Neurospora crassa OR74A: one gene and its partner. The main gene of each other region encodes a partner of the protein of the gene in region 2 in a complex. Links are inferred from orthologs where the notes say so. Each region holds a gene or a part of one and is shown on either strand. Other genes may lie near its edges.

Region 1 (10,367 bases), on a different chromosome or scaffold from region 2:
TCGACAAGACTCTTGTACCACTTTCCATCTGGCACCTCCATTTCTTCGACTTGGAAGTTCAGGCGTTTATCACCCTTATCAACGAGACTGGAAAGCCCTTCGCCAATAACCATACCCAGGAAACGAGCCCTCTGATTTGATGACGATAGCCTGTTGGAGATGGCATTTAGCCATGGGCTTGATCTCATCAGAAGTGTGAGTTTCAAGGGCGAGACCTTGTGGACGTATCCAGCGCTCAGGAGCAGCACCTGCGCATGCACTTTGAAACCGTTAGTTACGCTCAAGAAGAGGAAGAACACACCATTTTCAAGCTAAAGCCAACCTTCTTGTTGCACTATCGGAGAGTGCTTGATGTATAGCTGATCTCCAATCTGGGCAATACTTTTCTCAAGCACACTGACGATTGAGTCTCTATCCTGAGAGACGACTGCCACCACCGCTCGTCGGATACCAATAGAGTCGCCAAGTCCAGCGCCAGACGAACCTGTTAACCACTCAACGAGGTAGGCTATTCTCTCCGGATCATTCATTGTAATTGCGCTGATTGCACCAGCCACTGCGGATATCATTTTATTGCTGCCTTCGGTATCACTCGTGCCTAACCGATTAAGATAGTCCTCGGCGAAGGTCTTCAGCACCGAAAAGAGAACTTTACGCTGCTCGCTTCGAGGAACATGGCCCAGCAGGAGCCCAAAGCGCTCATTGTCAGCCCCTTGAGCAATTAGCAACCTGGTAAGGACACATTTCATGGCCGTATCTGCCTCCAAGTCAGTCATAGTTTGAGAAGCCAGAGCTATTCGCGAATGTCTTACCCGAGTGCCCTAGTCGTAGAGCCTTCAGAAACAACTCGGAACAAAGCTTCGTCTCATCTGATGTTGGCGAGGTTAGTTGCCACTTGACGATATTTTGGCTTAACCACTTGGTATATTCTGGCCCATTTGCTAGCCAGATGTTGTTAACGTCGATTTCTGCCTTGTGCCCCTTTGCATGTTCAATAGCCTCTGCGGTCAGTGCAATGATCCGACCACTGCCAAAGGTCGAAAGCATCTCCTGCGAGAGCATTCTGGTGTTGAGGTTCCCGTTCAGCGTTCTTGTAGCTGACTTCCAAATGCCACGTATGGAATCATTGCCTTTTAGTAACAGGCATACCAGGTTGAGAAGGACTGCCAGATTGATTGCGATGTCCGGTCGCTTGGACTTGCCATCGCCGGATTTTGCTTCCTGTAACCATGCCCTCAGACGCACAATAATGGCATTGACCCCTGTCAGACTGCGAAGACAAGCTAGCAAGAGCCCCAAGGCCGAAGACTTGGTTTCATGGGAGTCTTCGTTTAGCAGAGTCCAATAGTTCGGGACGATTTCTGACACCAGCACCTGAACTAGCTTTGCGGTCATAGGACTTGGTTCCTTGATGCTGAATGTGGACCCGGCTAAATCCTCATGGCTGAGGAATCGCAAAGTAGCGACGAGCTGGTCGTAGTTAGGTTCATGTCGTAAAACTTCGAGGGCTTCCTCGGGCGAGTTCAAGGGCCTCTGACCAGGAGATTGGTTCGGCTTTACTGTTTCCTTTCTGAGGCCAACTTCCTGGAGCAGAGGTTCGTTGGGGCTCGCACTCAGGCGGGAGGTGCTGATGGGCGTCAAGAGGCCGTTCATCTCAGATATCTGTAATGATGTCAGTTGGTGATGAGGACTTTGAAATACACAGGCTGGGCTTGAAGTGAAATTCACACCCCGGAACGTTACCTATCGTTTGACCGATCGAAAGAGGACGGAACGAATTGGAAGGAAAGTGGAAATTCCGTTTCGTATCGACGACATTTCACTGAGTGTACGTAGTTATCTGCGTCAAACGGAAAGCAACAGGGGATGATACGTAGCGTCGGTGTTGCTGCTAAGTGCTAACTGATCCGTTGTGCAGGCAGTCGTCCCTTCCCTGTAGCGGCCCTGAACTGCACTTTCGGGCACTCTCCGTTGCCGCTGTTGGTAACCTACAGGGTCTCCTTTAACGGGGCGGCAGGAGCTATCCACTCACCATCTCCGAACCTGAAGTCCGGGCCCGCCCGCAAGTGGAACTATGGAAGCTTCCCTCCTCCAGTTCCGTTTGTTTGTTGTCCCGTCAACTCACCCCTCGGATTGTACATTCAACCTGCAACAATTTGTGAGCCGCGACTAATCAGCAAATATTATCACTAGCATTTCTCATCCTACCCGCCGGCCTCCCCCTTAATTATCTCACCAGCGAAGTCTCCTCTTGTAGCCATAAACTAGTCATGTCAAGTCCAGAAGTACTCCCAGACTCCGAAGCCAAAAGATGGTAGGTGTTACGCGCTCTCGATCGCGACCCAAGAACACCCCCTGGATTTCATATCTTCAGGGCATGAGTCCCAACAGCTAACACGCCACCTTTACCATAGGAAGTATCTCAACAATGTCCGAACACGGCCAGGCGCATTCGTGGATCCGGAAGAGTTTGATGGCTCAACGGTAGTAGAGAACATGAACAAAATCAAGATCTTGTAAGTTATCCTTTTAATTGGCAGTACATCAAGTGTATGCGTATATCAAATTATTCAAGCAGAAGCTGATAACTTTTCCAGAGTCATGTTAGTCTCAGCTTAATGATTTGACGGGTCATGGTTATGAGAACTGACGGCAAGGTAGCGGAGCTGGAGGACTGGGTTGTGAGATCCTCAAGAACCTCGCCCTTTCCGGGTTCAAGGACATTTCCGTCATCGACATGGGTCGGTTGTCCTCTATAGATATATCGACATGTCAATGATAGCTGACCTGGAAGTCTAGATACGATCGACATCTCCAACCTTAACCGCCAGTTTCTCTTCCGTCACGCGGACGTAGGGAAATTCAAAGCCGAAGTAGCTGCCAAGTTCGTTGAGAGAAGAGTCAAAGGCGTCAAGATCACGCCATATAACTGCAAGATACAGGACTTCGATGAAGACTTCTACCAGCAGTTCCAGATTGTAGTCTGCGGACTGGACAGCATCGAGGCACGCCGATGGATCAACGCCACCCTGGTCAACATGGCGAGTTGTGAAAACCCTGATAGCATGAAACCTCTCATCGACGGCGGCACCGAGGGCTTCAAGGGCCAAGCCCGCGTTATTCTACCGACCATGGGCTCTTGTATCGAGTGCCAGCTAGACATGCACGCTCCCCGAGCCGCCGTTCCTCTTTGCACTCTCGCCAGCATCCCCCGCCAGCCGGAGCACTGCATCGAATGGGCGCACGTCATCGCTTGGGACAAGGAGAAGCCGTTCCCGCAGCTCGACAAGGACGACCCGGAGCACATCACCTGGCTCTACCAGAAAGCCCTCGAGCGGGCAAAGGAATTCAACATATCGGGCGTCACGTACTCTCTGACGCAAGGCGTGGTGAAGAACATCATCCCGGCCATCGCGGCCACGAACTCGGTCATCGCCGCGGCCTGCTGCAACGAGGCACTCAAGATCGCATCCAGCTGTGCACCCTTTTTGGGCACCCCCGGCGAAGGCGAGCCTAATTATATGATGTATTCCGGCAACGACAGCATTTACACGTATACGTTTAAGCACGAGCAAAAGGAGGACTGCCCCGTGTGCGGCATGACGGCAAGGGTGCTCAAGGTCAACCCCAAGTGGACACTCGAAGAGCTCATAGAGTCGTTTGCTACCCTTCCTGAGGCGCAACTGAAGAAGCCGTCGGTGCGGGCTGAGGGCAAGACGCTGTACATGCAGTTGCCCCCGAACTTGGAGGAGCAGACGCGGCCAAACTTGGAGAAGACACTTGAGCAGCTTGGGCTGACGGAAGGTACTGAGCTCGCCGTTACTGATCCAGCGTTTGTAGGCGTGGTGTTCAACTTCAGCCTCAAGTTTGCATGATGGTCCCCAGACATGAACGTGTCATGATGGCCTGGCCTGGTTTGCCTGGACTTTGTTCATGCTATTTAGGGACTAGATTTGTAAATTACCTACGAGCGGGAGCGTTGCACAACAAGCAGCGGGGAATGACCCGCAAGATGGCTATAGCGATGAGTTAACTTCCTTTGCAATTAATTAGATGTGAATACAAGATATGATTAACAATGTGCTTCAACAATATGCTACGCAGTACGTAACCAAAAGACATCATGTCAAATGAGGGGTACTGTGTTTATGCAAGACAGTGTGGTTCATGACTCATGTGCACCGACATGTCTATGATAATTAACAAGCAGAAACCATTAAACTAAAGCTGGCCACCAATCCCTAGCCTCCATGACGCCGTTCCAATGTTCTTTTATATGGTTACAAGAGAGATGGGTATCCTCACGACCTAATCCGTGTGATTTTTCCTCTTTCCCTGTGTGATTCCACATCATGATCGCTCAAATTCTGTCTCAACCACCGTACATAGAAATAACCTCACCTCTTCTTCGTGCTATTTTGAATCCTCCTACCCCTGGTACAATGTTTACTGTACCATGTTCACCACCTGCTTCTCGAACCTCTTCGCCTTCTCCTTGAGGTGGGCAATCGATTCGAGGAAGATGGCGTCGCTTTCCCACTGCCCCGTGCTCTCCACCAGGTAAATGAAGTGATCCCTCCTTCGGCCCAGCTTGACCTTGTCCTTGAACTCGTCATGGCGCAAGCACTCTCTGCTGACGGTGTCACGCATGGCGTCCAGGACCACGGCCTTGAGCTCGCCCTCATGGCCCTCGTATCCGCTGCCCTTCTTCTTCGCCTCCTCCTTGGTGACCTTTTCCAGCCCGATGACGCCCTCGGGGAAGCACTTCTGGAATTTCTCGGCGTCGCGGCCTAGGATCGGCTCGAGAATGGTGATGGTCGGCATGAGGCGGTACGAGGCCGTGGCGACGGGGGAGAACTTGGCGTGATCGGACCCGACGCCCTTGTGCATGTGCATCGTCAGATCGATCTCCTGTCCCGGCCGCATCTTGGCGACGAGGATGTCAGGGTTCGTGGGCCGGATGGCGTTCTCGCCCGAGAAGTACTTGGCTTGCCGGCCCTTGGGCACGAACTTGATGTCCTTAGCGTAAACATGGGCGTTGTGGTAGAGCTCCTTGGGGTCCTTGCTGTCTGCCGGCGCGCTCTCGTTGTTCTCGCACTTGACCTTGAGCTCGAGCTCGACCGTGTTGTAGTCGCACGGGGTCTCGCCCTTCTTGTACCACTTGAGGAAGTTATGGAGGCCTTCCTTGCCGCCGGTGAACGGGATCAGGCCCAGGCGGTGGCCAAGAACTTCGTCCTGGATCACGGAGGTGTTGTTCCACATGAAAATGTCCTCAATGGCCAGCGTGGGGATGTCGGCAATCATGATACGGCGGAAGGCATTGGCGATAGAGGCGTCGACGCCAATGAGCGAGAATTGAGCCTCATAAGGGTCGTTCTGGTGGAACACTACGCGGACACTTTCGCGGAACTTTTCGATATCCCAGGAATGATCCTCGCCGGGGTAGAAGCCGGGAAAGTCGGTGGATGTGACATTGGTGACAGTTTCGGCGTTGATATGGACAGTCTGCAGAAGAAAAATGCCATCAGTTTCCGCGTTGCATGCGCTGCGCAGCCTCGACTGATGATGATGGGCGGCAAGCCAGTGATTGACGTACGTTACGCTTCTCAACCTCTTCTGGGCTCGGGACCTTTGTCCTGACGGGCACGGCGGTCTGCTTCTTTGAGGATCCCATTGCGACGATATGTGTAAATAATGCTCTAGGTTGGCGGGGTTACCCTCTCGCTTTCACACGCAGGTCGGCACGCCGGGCAAAATCTTGGGAAAGAGAGCTCTGCGCTGTGCGACGGGCGATGGAGCGGCAGAATTTTTCCCACGAACGGGAACTTTTTGACCGCCTTCGCGGGAATGCGGTTGATTGGTTGGCTGAGATCTTATCGTGCTGCAGGCAGTGGCGGAGAGGTTCAGGGACTGCCTGGCTCAACTTGATGCTCATGGGCCTCGGCGGAGACAATTGTGGACAGGACCGCAATGACTGGGACAAGGCCAACAGGGTACATGGCGGGCCATAACCTCTGTCAGGTTACCGTCGACTTCGACCATCGACGAAACCTGAGGCGAAGAGAGAACGCTAGATCTTCACTTGCAAAGGGCTGCGCAGGTATGATGGGAGATACTTCAACTACCTAGATATACTTGCATGTCGGGAGTATCAATTCCAAATCCACAATTTTGTAGCTTCGGCGAGGGAAAGACATCGGGGCTTCATATTCCATGTCCACATCGAGGTTTGTCGCGAGTAAGTGACATGTTGACTAACTCCACTCTTAACTCCAGCACATCTTGGAATCTCTGTGGTCATTGTTATAAGTGTGGACATGCTCTTCCATCCTCCTCTTCCTTTCTGCGAAAACCTCTCCCTAAAATGCCCAAATTCCGACTTACACTGCCTCGAGACTGCCTGGCGAAGGACCGAGGCTTCTACAACCAGCCAATCAGATGGCATATAGCGCGGCTGCCCTCCATGGGACCGCTTGGCGGCACGGCTGCCGGATAAACGCCTTGGCCGGCAACAGTCGAGACGGGAGCTTGCCCGCCGTGGGGGGAACGTTGTACCAGAAGAAGCTTGGTCTCTGACTGCTCAACTGATGGCCTTTGATTGGGTTGAAATTCACTGACCAACTGACGGCAACGATTTGAGGAGTTCGAAGCTGGGGCGTTGCTGCGGCCGTGGTCAGGGAAAGTCGACTGGACGTCAACTGAAGCATCTCCACCACCACCTTATTACTGCTATCACTAGAAATCGCAAGCTCACTGCGAGCCATTGAACCGCCGGAGAAGAGGCCACATCCAGCGGCGAACCTCCTCCCCTTTGTCCTCCGTCGCTGTCAATCCTGCGAATCTATCCATCTCCGTTCCCTGACCTTCTGAGCGACCCAAAGCAAGCGGCAGTCCCACAAACAACAATGGCGACGACGTTGTTCCGACTCGCTGGGCGCAATGCCAAGCGCCATTGTATGCGCCAGAGCACCACCATCGCTCACAACCTCAACTCGACTCGCGCCTTTTCTGCCTCCGCTCTCAGACGGTATGCCGAGCCCAGCTACGAGGGCCAAGGAACCCGTCTGGTCCCTACCGGCGACGACTTTGCGCCCAACAACGATCTGTATGGCTTGGAGGCTTTGAAGGCAGACGGTGCCCCGAGAGTGCCTCCCCAGGATCATATCCTGGCCCGCAAGGTGCGGCACTACACGGTCAACTTCGGTCCTCAGCATCCGGCCGCTCACGGTGTGTTGCGCCTGATTCTCGAGCTAAAGGGTGAAGAGATTGTTCGTGCCGACCCCCACGTCGGCCTGCTGCATCGCGGCACCGAGAAGCTCTGCGAGTACAGGACCTACCTTCAGGCGCTCCCTTACTTTGACCGTCTTGACTACGTCTCCATGATGACCAACGAGCAATGTTTTGCTCTGGCCGTTGAGAAGCTGCTCAACGTTGAGATCCCCGAGCGTGCCAAGTGGATTCGTACAATGTTCGCTGAGATTACCCGTATTCTCAACCATCTCATGTCTGTTTTGTCGCACGCCATGGACGTCGGCGCTCTCACGCCTTTCTTGTGGGGCTTTGAGGAAAGAGAGAAATTGATGGTGAGTGTTGATTCGTATTTTTCGTTAAATATCGGCGGTCTCTATCAGATGGGTATATTAAAAACCAATGCGCGAAACTCTACGCGAAAGGACCTGGGAATACCAATGCAGCACGCACCCAACCCCAGCAGCTCAATCTAATATGTGAAAAACCTTAGGAATTCTACGAGCGAGTCTCTGGTGCCCGTCTCCATGCTGCCTACGTCCGCCCCGGAGGTGTCCACCAAGATATCCCTCTCGGCCTGCTCGATGACATTTACATGTGGGCCACGCAGTTCGGCGACCGCATCGACGAAACCGAGGAGATGCTTACGGACAACCGTATCTGGATAGACCGTCTGCGCGGCATCGGTGTAGTCTCTGCCGCCGACGCCCTGAACCTGTCCTTCACGGGCGTCATGCTCCGCGGTTCCGGCGTGCCATGGGACATCCGTAAGAGTCAGCCGTACGACGCATACGACCAAGTCGAGTTTGACGTTCCCGTTGGCATCAACGGCGACTGCTACGACCGGTACCTGTGCCGCATGGAGGAGTTCCGTCAGTCACTCCGTATCATCCACCAGTGCCTTAACAAGATGCCCGCTGGTCCCGTCCGTGTCGAAGACTACAAGATCTCCCCGCCGCCCCGCTCCGCCATGAAGGAGAACATGGAGGCCCTCATCCACCACTTCTTGCTGTACACCAAGGGCTATGCCGTCCCGCCCGGTGACACCTACTCGGCCATCGAGGCCCCCAAGGGCGAAATGGGCGTCTATGTCGTCAGTGATGGTTCCGAGAGGCCGTATCGTGTGCACATCCGCGCTCCCGGCTTTGCTCATCTGGGTGGCTTTGACCACTTGTCGAGGGGCCACATGTTGGCTGATGCCGTGGCCGTTATCGGCACAATGGATTTGGTGTTTGGTAAGTTTGATTCTCATTGTGTGAAACTCTCTTCTTTAAAATTCCAAGTGGTTTGGTAGCTAACCCTTTTATTCCTACTTCCAGGTGAGGTCGATCGGTAATGTTGAAGCTCTCCGGCTGCAAACTTTGTGACATGGAACGCAACGCATGGGATATTTTTTTTTTGATGAATGAAGCACAGCAACTGCAGATATTGAAATGAGCGGATAAGCAGGCCGCGCGCGATGTTTTACCTTTAAAGAACGCCTAAAGGAGAAACAGTACTTTGGGTTTTGCTGATAAAGGTGGGACGTTTTGACTTCTTCTCTTATCCCCTGGCAAAAACGGAACAGGAAACATAGATAGATGCAGACTAGACCAGCAACAGAAGAAGAATAGCCAATTCAGTCATCGGGTCTTTAAAAGAGAGACTGAAGTGAAGGGATGCCATGCTTTGGTCTTTCGTCGTTGAGTTGTGTGCAACACATCATCCACGTCCTTCTTCTTCAACATTTTCTGTGGTGTTGGTGTTAGTTGTGCCAGTCCTTGATGTGCATGGTTGTGTGGTGCTGTGAGACGAGATATGAAAAAGGCAACGCGACGACTGCTTGTTGTTACAATAACTTCTCAGCCGCCACTGGACTGGCTGCCGTCGAACATTGTCGCGGAGCGAACACTCGCTCTCTGTCGACTTTGATAATCTCCATCCCGCCGTCATACTGCGCGCTGAGAATTTGTTGTTTTCGTGGTTCGCTGTCCTCTGTATTGTTAGCTTCACAATTGGGCCACTCTCATAAAAGTCCCAGGGAATTCACATCTTCGAAACAAGTCATGGAAGCGATGGGATGGCGACTCACCAGTCCAAGGACTCAAGATGAGGAATCCTTAATCCCGCTCAGGAGTACGATGAGCTCCGCTGGTGTCCTCTTCCCAAACTTGTACGGTGTTGCTGGTATTGCTCGGCGTGATCAACTTGAGCCCCACAACCACCTTCAGCATCATTCGCGATGCCGGTTCCGTTTCCGTTTCCGTTATTGGTTTCAGTATCGGTCCCAACCTTATTAGTCTCAGCTTGAACCTCGCTCGAAACCACCCCAGCTCTAGAACGAGGTTCAGGTCCAGGTCCAGGTTCAGATTCAGATTGGAAGCTCGACTTGCATCTTCTCAACTGACAATCCTCCCAATTAGGCATGTGTACTTCACTGCCCTCTGGTCCGGAGCCGACGGGCAGACCGCAGTATGGAAATGGGAATGGAAGACACGGTGGCGGAGAGGAACGACTGGTTAGGGAATGAAGTTCCTGACAATGTTGCTGAAGCTGTTGCGGTCCATCCTGAGTCTCGGGCTCGTGGTCACAATGATCGGGGAAAACAATGCCCATTGGTACGAAGGTGTGTGGTCCGTAAACGTGTTGTTCATGGTTGCCGTAGACCGAGGCGACGGCGTGGGACGACGAACGGATAGAGAGCTGCCCTGGCTGATCTGCCAGGCCGAAAAGCTCCGGTCGCTGCTGGTGCTGTGCTGCCGGATCACAAGACCGCCCCTGGGGGAAAGGCACGGAGGTGTTCGCCAAAGTCACCGAAGTGGCATGCCTTGGCTGGCTGTGGTGATGTCCCTGTCCTTGATGAAAATGCTCCTGCTGATGATGAAGGCAGTGGCTCTGGCGGTGATGCGAGCGAGCTCTGGTATGACGAGGGCCGGTCGGAGGTAAATTAGATACAAGAGGAGGTTTCGGTTTGGCCGGGGGTGATGACGCAGCAGCAGCAGGATCAAAAGTTCCAAACGTATCATTGATCTGGGCCATCCGTAAAGTAATTTCCTCCTCACCCTTGTTTATGGCCCTATTGCGGCTCTCAGTCTGGCGGTATTCCTGGAGATACTCCCGTTCCCCGGTGATCATGTCAT
Region 2 (10,885 bases):
GCAGATCCCCCGTTAATGTCAAGCTCCGGGTCGAGGTTGCAATTGATATTGGGGCCGAGTGCGGTGAGTTATACAGGAGTCAAGTTGTGGTCAAGGAGAGAAGGGCGCAACCGTGTGCTTTTATAGAAGGTTCATCCCCAGAATGGAGTAACCTGTCAGACAATAGCAACCTCTATAGATCACTTCCCACTAGGGTGGATAATCGAGTCTGCTATTGATCGCCATTCTCCTTCTATAAGTTGTGATTATGGGATGAAAAAGAGTGCCTTGGACACAGCAAAAGAGGAGATTCAGCCAAGAGCACAGCCAGGCAGAAAGATGGGCCGAAACTTCGATACCCTTTACAGTAAGTTTGAGGGGCTTATGATCTCTTCTCCTGCCCCATCACAGAAACCGCAACGGCTTCACATCAGATCGCAGCAGCAGACTGGGAGCAACGCAAAACCTGTTCGACAGTTTAAGAGAAAAGCAAATACTTACGCTTTGGTGGACCGATGGCTGGTGGGATCCTGGCGTACAGCCTCTTCCTTCTCATCTTCGTCACTGTTCCTTCGTGAGCCTGGACCTGAGCGTGTCGGCAGTTGGTCATCAAAGGCTAGCCGCATGGGCAGCATCCCCGACGGCGGAGATGTGAGCAAGGAGCGGGTTCCACGGTTGACGAGGCCGGTCGAGTGCCGGTTCGGGCGGGAAAACATGGAGGGAAAGCCTCTTGAGGCATCGCGATACTCGGGGGGTGTGGTCGGCTCGGACTGGTGGCCGGCGAATCTGCCTATCTGCAGATCCTCTGCCATCTGTGCGAGTTCACGCTCTTCCTGACGCTGCTGAGCGTCTAGTTTAGAGAGCTCGGCTTCGAACCGCCGCTTGCTCTCTCGGATTCGTTCGTATTCCTGTCTCTTCTTTTCTAACTGTTGTCAAGGCAACCGCATGGGCCGCGAGGTTAGTGGGCACCTGGGGCCGTCGTTGCGAACAAGTTGCGACGTACCAGCTGAACCTTGTGGAGAGTCTACCAAGCATGATCAGCATGATCTCCAACAAACATGTCACCGTCGCGTCTGCACCAAGAGCAGAGGCGGCCGGGACCGGAAGAACGTACCGCAGCAGGAGTAGCAGCAAACTCGATGGGCTCGGGTGGGCGCTGGGAACCAGGTATAAAGGATGACAGTGTTGGTACATGGCCCGATTCTGCGGTGAATCGGCGCGGTAGGGAGGGACCACTCCTGTTGACAAAGGAGGGCGCCATTTGCGATTCGCCTCGCTGGGGCTGGGGGCGGTAGAACTCGTCCATGATTATCTCGGCTTTACAGTTGCTAATCGATACACTTTTGTTGTACAGGGTGATGGATCCGTCGGCGGCTGCTCCCTCTATAATCTAATGCCACACACAAGCGTTAGTCAACATCTTTTTTCAGCGAATACCAAGACGAGCACTGTGAGAAGAAGCAACACATGAGGACGATAATGTGCCATGTACAGCCACATGTAGAGCAGTTGTAGTGACGAATGGCTGACCCCTCGGCGAGTCGCAATCAGAACAGTTCCTTCGGGTTCGGCAAGGCTGGTGTGTCGAATTCCAAAAGCTCGTCCGGATGCTGACAGCTGTTGCGATGGCCATCCAAGCTGTGTGGCAGGCATAGGACCGCGCTTGTAGTCGGCCGTGTCCTCAAGACTGGAGCAGCCTGAGTACCTCTATGGCGCCCATTATGAGACTGACTGGACATTGGGATGGGCCAGCGCTGGGTGAGGACGAGGCCGTGGCTCTCGTGGGCTCCAGCGTCCGAGGTCGCGCAGGTTGAGAGGGGATGGAAGGCGTATGAGTGGCCCGGGACCTGAGGTATGTGATGGACGGGATGCGATTGAAGGAACGACGTCAAGGTTACCGACCTACCTAGTCGTAGAGGTACCAAGCGAAACAATATGTCTCGTCGGCGCACGTATACTCTATACGCTGCGCCCCGGGAAGCCTGGAGCAGCAGGTTCGGGAGCGGTAGTAATACAGCAAAAAGAGCGAAGAGAGATGGGATGGAGGACGAGTAAGCCTGACGGGTTGGGAGGTCGAAGTAGAGGGAGTGTATGGCGGAAGACTGACGGTCACGGTCGGTCGGTTGGTGGCACCGAACGGATGGGGATGCGCGAGAGGATGGGATGCCACCCGCTTCCTCTCTCGCGGGCACTGGACCTCAACCCCCCCAGCCCAGCCTGCCGCTGCCGCTGGAGGTGCCGCTGTGGTCCATGTCACTTCTCTTCTGTGGATGCCCTCAGGACTGTCAAACTCACCTCTACGTACTACCTAGGTAGCTAGGTAAGTACCTCTACACGAGGACATGCTGCATGCTGGGTTCGAGAACCCCTGACAGCCAGAGACTAGTGCTTCGATTCCGCAGTGGGTGGACGACAGAAGCCCAATCATTGGATCTGCTGGCCAAGGGCGATTGCGCTAAGAGGTCCCCGCTTTGCACCCTTCGGACAGGTACCGGTACTTGCGAAGTGAGTGGAAGCTCTCCTCACCTCATCGACGCTGTCGTCTTCTTCCTCTTTTCCCTTTCCCCTTTCACTTCTTTGGGAGTTGACAGCCAGAGTTGCGAATGATTAAAAATGCGGCTTGCTGGCGTGGCATTGGAGTATCTGACCTCATTAGCCAATCTGGTACAACGAGACAGCCTCCAGTTGCTACCAGATCCCTTGAACATGGCCTGTAAACGGACATGTGCTTTACAAGACAACAGCAGGCGACGGCGATGAGGGATCCAAGCCTACGGTACCTACCCTGACTCCGCCCAGGGGGTGTCTGTAGGATGGAGATAAAGCCTCTTCCGGTCTTTGCCCTGCTTCAGTTCCCAGATATATCGCCTTACGAGGAACCCCCAGGATTTTCATTGAACGGAACACCAGAGACGGCAAAGTGGAAGTCCTGAGGAATTAGCGGTGTATAGGCGTCGCCGGGCGCTATACGGCCTGCAGTGAGGCAATCCACGAGGTGGCTGCCCCAGATTCTCTTACCCGCGCCCTTGCGTCCAGTCTGCAGCTGCCCCTGCGCGATGTTAGGCCTTGTCTGGAACCGGATAGGTAATGATTGGCTGGCGACAGAACGGGAGAGGGATTGCGTGTTGCAGCACTCTAGCTGACACGCGAGACAAGCTCGAGACAAGGCATGGGAAAGGTAGCCATAGTGACAAAAGGCACAAGACAGTGAGTGACAGGCAGACAGCCGTCAATGTTCAAGGCTGGACACTCTAACCCTCACTTCTGCCCTGTGGAAGATTCAGTACAAGAGAGAAGATCGATTTACATTCTGAGCACTCAAATGTACGATAGCCAGGTGATAGCTATGGTAGACGCTGAGATATGGAATGTCTTGAATGCTCATTGAGACCATGGTAGAGAAAGCGAACGCACAAGTGCAGCGCCCCCGTGTTTAACCTTGATGTGAAATCTCCTCGCCTTTTTTTTTCAATTGCTCCTCTTTCGGATCTTGCCCCACTGCTGGGTTGGGTTCCAGGTCGATTCAAGCAAGGTAGCACCCTGCTGGAGCTGGCCTAGGAAAAGATGGGTACCTACCTACACTATGCTGTAAGACACGGCCAACGGTGATGCGACTCTTTGACGTTTGTATAGTCAGCCAGAAGCATAACCCTTCTCTGATTCTTGAAGCCTGAGCAGGTCACAGCACTTGGGAATAACATCAACCTCCGTTGTATGCGATTAGCAATTCAAAGGCTGCCATATCAACGAACAAAGACCGAAGAAGACCATCAACATGATAACAGGTAGGAGAGAAATAGTGAACGACCCGGCAGGTGATTTCATAACCAGAAGCTCTCCCCTGTTGACTGGTGTGTCGATCGAAGGCCCGGCTTCCGCTTGGCGCGGCTAGATTCAGCAGAACGGATACATAGCTATCTTGAGGTTACCTAGCTGGCCTGACCCCGCTACAAATTGTTCAAATCGCTGTGCTAGTTGAAGTTGGATAGGTAAATACAACCTACCACCAGGAGGCAGATGTGTCGGAGTTGCACAGAGGCGGGGGTTCCTTATCACGAACATCAAAGTGACGGTCCGGAGTCAAAGCAAAAGGAAAGGTTTCAAAGGTACCCGACAGGTGGAGGGCACGGCCAAAAGTGGAACAAGGAACCTACATAGGTATATGTAACTGTCAATCAGGGGTCCAAAACGTGGGCGCTAACAATTTTGGCCTCGGCATACCAGTTAGGTACCACTGCAGTCACTAGCAGTCACCGGTCACCGCACCACAACACTACCTCTAGTGTAGTGCACTACACACACTAACAGTCAAGCACAGACCACTCCCGCCCCGTCGTCCCCCACCGCCCCAGCCGCGGCTTACCTCTACTGACCTAACAAGAAATGGCAGCGGCCAGCCCGTAGAAAAAGTTTATCGCAACTAATCCTTATCAATTTGCCGCGGGGCCAAAAATCACATCGAAATCTACCTACACAACTGCAAGGCGTATCTTCTCAACCAAACACACATTCCCGGTCGTTCCGCGCCCATCATCGCCATCCTCCATTCCTCCGGCCCGATCGATACGACGAACCGTCACCCGCAGTTAGCACATGCAAGGATGGCGGCTCTCGACGATGGCTTTGAGGCCCTGCTGGAGCCGTTCTACAATGGCAAGAAGCTGACCGATCCCATCTCGACCACGCAGGACAAGTTCCATCTTGTCCCGGCCTTCCTCAAGGTCAAGGGCCTCGTCAAGCAACACATCGACTCGTACAACTACTTCGTCAACGAGGAAATCAAGGACATCGTTAGGGCCAACCGCGTCGTCCGCAGCGACCAGGACCCCAACTTTTGGCTCGAGTTCAGAGACATCCGCGTCGGCATGCCCACCCGCACCGAAGATGGCGAACAAGTCCAGTCTCGAAACCCCGTCACCCCCATGGAGTGCCGTCTCCGCGACCTCACCTATGCCGCCCCCGTCGAGGTCGACATCGCCTACACCCGCGACAAGAACGTTATCGTCCGCAAGAACATCCCGCTATGCCGCATTCCCGTCATGCTCAAGAGCGCAAAGTGCTACCTCAACGGCGCCACCAATGCCCAGATGGAGGTCTTCAACGAGTGCCCTCTCGATCCTGGTGGCTACTTCGTTATTGGCGGAACCGAAAAGGTCATCTTGATTCAGGAACAGCTTAGCAAGAACCGTATCATTGTCGAGGCCGACGAGAAGACCGGCGGAGTCATGGCCTCGGTTACCAGTTCCACACACGAGAGAAAGTCAAAGACTTACGTCGTACTCAAGAAGGACCGGATTGTCCTGCAGCACAACACCCTCTCCGAGCCCATTCCCATCGTCATCGTTCTCAAGGCCTTCGGTGGTCTTTCCGACAACGACATCATCGAGCTGGTTTGCGGTGGCGATGCGCGCTACCAGGACGATTTCCTCATCAACTTCGATGAAGCCGGAAGAGCTGGTGTCTACACACAACAACAAGCGTTGGAATACGTTGGTGCTAGAGTCAAGATGGGCGGTAACAGACCCAAATTCGGTGCCGCTCCTCGAAGAAACCATGCTGAAGAAGGTCTCGACGCACTTGCGAACTTAGTTATCGCGCACGTTACTGTTGAGGGTCTCGACTTCTATCCCAAGGCCGTCTACATTGCCATGATGGTTCGCCGCGTGCTGATGGCAGCTCAGAATCCCAAGCTCGTCGATGACAGAGATTTCGTCGGCAACAAGAGATTGGAATTGGCTGGACAGTTGATCTCCCTTCTATTTGAAGACTTGTTCAAAAAGTTCATTTCAGACGTCAAGTACAACATTGACAACTTTTTCAAGAAACCCAACCGTACCTCTACGTATGATCCCCATGGTGCGATCATGGCTAACGGCCATTATATCTCTCACGGTCTTAACCGCGCCATTCAGAGCGGCAACTGGACGGTCAAGCGTTTCAACATGAACAGAGCCGGTATCACCCACGTGCTCAGCCGACTCAGTTATATCGCTGCGCTGGGTATGATGACGCGTATCAGCTCACAGTTCGAAAAAACAAGAAAGGTTTCCGGTCCAAGAGCCCTACAGCCCTCACAGTGGGGTATGCTCTGCACCTCTGATACACCTGAAGGTGAAGCCTGTGGTCTGGTAAAGAATTTGGCACTCATGACACACATTACCACGAATGTGCCGGAGGAACCAGTTAAGAAGATGATTTTTGCTGCTGATGAGAGCGTGGGACCGATCCGAGAATACACCGGAACAGAGATGCACAGCAAAGGCTCGTATATCATCCATTTGAACGGTACACCATTTGCTGTGACCAGGGAGCCAAAGCGGTTTGCCGCCAGGTTCAGAACTTTGCGTCGCCGGGGCTGGGTCTCTCCTTTTGTGAGCATCCACATCAACGAGCACTTCTCGGCGGTTCATATCGCTACCGATGAAGGACGTATTTGCCGCCCGTACATCATCGTCAAGAACGGCAAATCCATGTTGAAGGCAGAGCACCTGAAGATGCTTCAACTCGGGCAAGCGACATTCGACACTTTCCTGACCAGCGGCGTGGTTGAGTATCTCGATGTCAACGAAGAGAACGATACCCTTGTGGCGCTTCAGGAGGATCAGATCACCAACAGCACTACGCACATGGAAATTGAGCCGTTCACGATTCTCGGAGCAGTCGCTGGTCTAATTCCCTTTCCCCATCACAACCAGTCTCCCCGTAATACTTACCAGTGCGCCATGGGTAAACAAGCCATTGGTGCTATTGCCTACAATCAGTTCAACAGAATCGATACCCTTCTTTATACCCTTGTTTATCCCCAACGACCAATGGTCATTACGAAGACGATTCAACTTATCCACTACGACAAGCTCCCGGCAGGACAGAACGCCACCGTCGTTGTCATGTCTTACTCTGGCTACGATATCGAAGATGCGCTTGTTCTGAACAAGGCTTCTCTAGATCGTGGATTCGGCCGCTGCCAAGTGTTCCGCAAGTATACCGCCGAATTGCAAGGCTATACGAATGGGCGCCGCGACAGGGTTGGCGGTATCATGAAGGACGAAGACGACAAGCCCATTGTTAAGCACGCCATCCTCGACGCCGATGGCCTGGCCCAGGTGGGCTCAAAGGTTGAATCCGGACAAACGATGATCAAGAAGGAGACCCCGTTGGACCAGATCTCTACTGGAATCGCTGGCGATCGTGGGTCAGACGATTACCGTGACGCATCAACCAACTACCGCATTTCCGACCCCGCCATCATCGACAAGGTCATGATTTCGGTCAACGAGCGCGAGAACAAGTTGATCAAGGTCCAAACCCGCCAGACCCGTAGGCCGGAACTTGGTGACAAATTCTCGTCCCGTCACGGTCAGAAGGGTGTCGTCGGTATCATCGTCAACGAAGAGGACATGCCCTTCTCCGACAAGGGCCTCCGCCCCGATATCATCATGAACCCCCACGGTTTCCCCTCTCGAATGACAGTCGGCAAGCTCTTCGAGTGCCTGACCGGCAAAGCCTCGGTCATCGCTGGCGAGAAGGACTACGGCTTCGGCGATGCCTTCCGCTCGCACCCCGTCGAGTCCATGGGCCAGGCCCTGATCGACCACGGCTTCTCGTGGGAGGGTAAAGACTACTTCACCTCGGGCATCACGGGTGAGCCCATGGAGGCCTACATCTACAACGGCCCCATCTTCTACCAGCGCCTCAAGCACATGGTACAGGACAAGATGCACTCGCGCTCGCGCGGCCCTCGCGCCATCCTCACGCGCCAGCCCACCGAAGGCCGTTCACGCGACGGTGGTCTCCGTCTCGGAGAGATGGAGCGCGATTGCTTGATCGCCTACGGCGCCTCGCAGTTGTTGCTGGAGCGTCTCATGATATCCTCGGATGGCACCGAACTCGACGTCTGCCAGGAGTGTGGCCTGTTCGGTTACAAGGGCTACTGCAACGCTTGCAAGAGCACGAGGAACGTTACCCAGATGACAATGCCGTATGCTTGCAAGTTGCTGGTGCAGGAGCTTATCAGTATGAATGTGGGTGTGAAGCTTAAGTTGGAGGATGAGTTCCCTCACCCGAGGTAGTTTTCAGCGACTCCCTCCGGAGGTGGTAGAGGATATGATGTGGTATCGTGTCGTGTAGGAATTCAGACTCGTCGATAGAATGAGCACGGGTTTTGTGGAAAACGAGATCTTTGGTGGTGGTAGCCGGTTGATGTTTGGATTTTTTGCAGACAGTTTACATGACAGGTGTTTGGGCGCGCGTGGTTCTCTTACTCCTTAGCATTTTCAAAGAGCGCGGCGAGGGTAGACAAACGGTTACACTAGACTGTAATGGGACTTACACACAAAGACGAAATACGTATACAAGTTCGAATCGATCAAGATCCTTTTGCAACCTATTTAAAGCCCCTTTTACTGCCACGGTTAGCGTCTGGTTGTCGTTGTTCTTGATTTCTGACTGGATATCACAGGTTAGCAAAGAGGACGGGTGCCCATTAGACATTGTCTAACCCAGCTTTCCGGGACCGGATCTACTTCTGGGTTGCTGTGATAGTGAGGAAGAAAAGTTCATAACGTACCCATGAATGGATACGCATGCATGCAATATATCTAATTACCCCTGCGTATAAAATCCAACAGGCAAGCAGTTGTTGTGGACGACGTCACTCTGCGATTGATTTTGACTTAAGATAAAGAAGAAATCCTTGATATTTTCGGCGAGTATTTTGGCTATTCTTGACCGTGTGTATCGTTCGCTCACTGACTGGCGTCACTAACCGTCGACTTTTACATTTGGTATTCTAAATAAAGTGTATTCTAAGCTCCAAAATCTGGGGGGTATCACATATTATCCCTTTTTTTCTTCTTCCCAAATCATTTCTAGCACAGTTGAAAACACTACTCACTGCTTCCCAAAACCACCTCAGATCATCTCTTTTCTTGTCCTCTCATAAACCCCTTTCACATGTCAGACTTCTTTTCCCTTTCCCTTCCCACCCACTTTCAATTCCCCCTCCCCCTTCTTCATTCCCTCCTCCTTCCCGTTCTTCTTCCCCACCCCCTTCAGCCCCCCCATCCAAACCTCAAACTCCACACTTCCCTCTCCCAACCCCATCCCGCTCTCCGCCGTCCATCCTGCAAAAACAACCTTCATCCACCTCCTCCAGCTCTTCAGCATTGGCATTCCCACAGCTTCTCTCCCACTGCCGACAACGGCAATGTCATCATCATCATCATCATCATCAGCTTGGTACTTACTCCTCCCGTAAGCTGGCCTTTTGAACAGCGCTATCCTCGCAGAGATCTGTGTAGACCAGACCAGACCCAAGGAGGGAGTCTTCAAAGCGTAGGAGGCGTAAGGATCGTCGCCCCAACCGGTGAAAAAACGTTGTTGGTTGTCGAAGTGGAGGGCGGGGTGGTGGATTGTTGAGGTGTCGTCGTCTGCTGGGTGACCGTGAGGGTAGGGGGTGGAGGGTGTAGGAACGTTGCTGCTGGATCGAGGTGGGATGGAAATGGAGGAGCGAGGGATAGAAGAAGAAATGGGCTCAGGCATCTTAGTCCCAAACCGATCGGCTACTTGATTGGACACCACCACGGCTAGGTTGTACTTTTGCGCTAGATCGCGAAGTTGCATACCTAGTCGAACTAGCTCGGCGGTGCGCGCTCCCATGTTAGAGGATCGCGCGCCTGGTGTCGAGGACGACGTAGCTGCTTCTTTGGAAGAACGATCAAACTCGGCGCGGTAGTTGGCTGCCACGCTATCGAGCACCAACAGGCCGATGTTGCGCCGCTCAATCTCCACGGGCACTTGGTAAGTGAGGATGTGATCTTGGCTTTCCAGGTCGGGCGTGACGGTGCTGATGATGTTATCGAGCGATGGTCTCTTTCCTCCTCCTCCTCCTCCTCCTCCTTCTCCTCCTCGGCCGCTTTCTGAGTCAAGGTCCGCGTAGAAAGGGTTGGTGGTGAGCATTTGGGCCAGCCGCCGGGTGGAGAGCGGCGCCTCGGTGCTGATGTACAGCGCCGGCCTGCCGAGGCCGTGCGGAGGCGGTAACTGAACTGAGAGGAGCAGTGTGAGCAGGAACTGCGTCTTGCCGGCGCCGGACTCGCCGGTGATCTCGGTCACATAGCCGGCGGGGATGCCGCCGCCGAGAGCGCGGTCGATGTCCGGATCTAGGGTGCTGATGGTCTGCCATTGTGCGGCGAGGGAGGCGGGCGTGTTTTTCAGGGTCTGACCATGTTGTTGATCCTGAACATGACTGCTGCTGCTGTGTTGGCCGCGGCGAGATGTGGCAAAAACACCTAGGTCATCGTGAAGAGCAGCGAGGACGGCGGCACATAGACGCTTGACGTCGAGCAGGGGCAGTTGAGTGCGTTTTCCAATGTCGGCTGCTTCTAGAGTCAAGAGGTCGCTGGTGGTGAGGCCGACCTTCTCCAGGGTAGAGATTAGACTTGCATATTGGGCGACGGGGAAGTGCGGCAGGACGCGGAGAAGATCGGTCATGGGTCATGAAGGGTCATTTGTTTACACGACTTGGTGTACGGTCGTCGTCGTCGTTGTCGAGGTGACGAAGGGTTGTGAGTTGTGAGTGGGTGAAGGACGTCTGTTTTGGGTTGTTCATGTGGGTCCCGTCCCGTCCGCCTGCGAGACGATCGGCGTTGGGGGGGCGGTCCAGCGGACAGCGAGTTGTTGTCACCCACTGCTGGTTGTGGCCCGACGGGGGGTTGTGGGTTGCAGATCCGTCCAAAGTTTTGCGTGGGTGTGTGCCGCATTCCGGCCCACTGCCCGCCGGGCCCGCTGTTCGGTGCCCTGTTTGTGGGGCCGCTTGATTGCCTTCCACTTGACAACTTCAGATCTTCCATGTTTTGGGTGACCGAAGCGGAAAAAAAACCACCCCCATCTCAGCCCAACGACACACTGA

The links. Proteins that work in one complex are often made in the same cells at the same time.
Region 1: the proteins of NCU01772 (region 2) and NCU02533 are in contact, whole or in part, in a cryo-EM structure (PDB 7Z0H), measured with the Saccharomyces cerevisiae proteins. The link is inferred for Neurospora crassa OR74A from reciprocal best matches to the Saccharomyces cerevisiae genes RET1 and RPC40. Residues at the interface, in NP_014850.1 of Saccharomyces cerevisiae: Phe718, Thr729, Tyr730, Lys775, Ser776, Asp779, Arg780, Gly781, Arg784, Glu786, Arg788, Arg901, Asn903, Arg905, Lys927, Gln928, Glu929, Asp930, Phe933, Asn934, Asp935, Gln936, Gly937, Val992, Gly995, Phe996, Asn997, Tyr998, Lys1001, Asp1002; in NP_015435.1 of Saccharomyces cerevisiae: Val5, Ile7, Glu8, Tyr9, Asn10, Arg11, Val12, Thr15, Thr16, Ser17, Thr61, Ser62, Asn65, Arg68, Arg69, Ile72, Ser73, Val91, Gln93, Asp94, Glu95, Val96, His99, Arg100, Leu103, Gly214, Asp215, His216, Ala217, Thr224.

Annotation. Positions count from the first base shown.
Region 1 is NC_026501.1:2,642,254-2,652,620, forward strand, and holds NCU02533 (DNA-directed RNA polymerase I and III polypeptide), read right to left. Parts: upstream 5,784-10,367; 5' UTR 5,675-5,783; coding exon 5,597-5,674; intron 5,506-5,596; coding exon 4,447-5,505; 3' UTR 4,087-4,446; downstream 1-4,086. Other genes in the region: NCU02531 (hypothetical protein), read right to left, coding at 1-259, 323-757, 813-1,395; NCU02532 (NEDD8-activating enzyme E1 catalytic subunit), read left to right, coding at 2,271-2,314, 2,415-2,516, 2,598-2,603, 2,662-2,741, 2,800-3,875; nuo49 (NADH:ubiquinone oxidoreductase 49kD subunit), read left to right, coding at 6,906-7,583, 7,742-8,483, 8,568-8,584; NCU02535 (hypothetical protein), read right to left, coding at 9,358-10,367. UniProt on the Saccharomyces cerevisiae protein: DNA-dependent RNA polymerases catalyze the transcription of DNA into RNA using the four ribonucleoside triphosphates as substrates.
Region 2 is NC_026502.1:2,486,881-2,497,765, forward strand, and holds NCU01772 (DNA-directed RNA polymerase III polypeptide), read left to right. Parts: upstream 1-4,394; 5' UTR 4,395-4,580; coding exon 4,581-8,048; 3' UTR 8,049-8,467; downstream 8,468-10,885. Other genes in the region: NCU16560 (hypothetical protein), read right to left, coding at 481-905, 983-1,003, 1,094-1,285; NCU01771 (DNA repair protein rhp57), read right to left, coding at 8,935-10,467. UniProt on the Saccharomyces cerevisiae protein: DNA-dependent RNA polymerase catalyzes the transcription of DNA into RNA using the four ribonucleoside triphosphates as substrates. Second largest core component of RNA polymerase III which synthesizes small RNAs, such as 5S rRNA and tRNAs.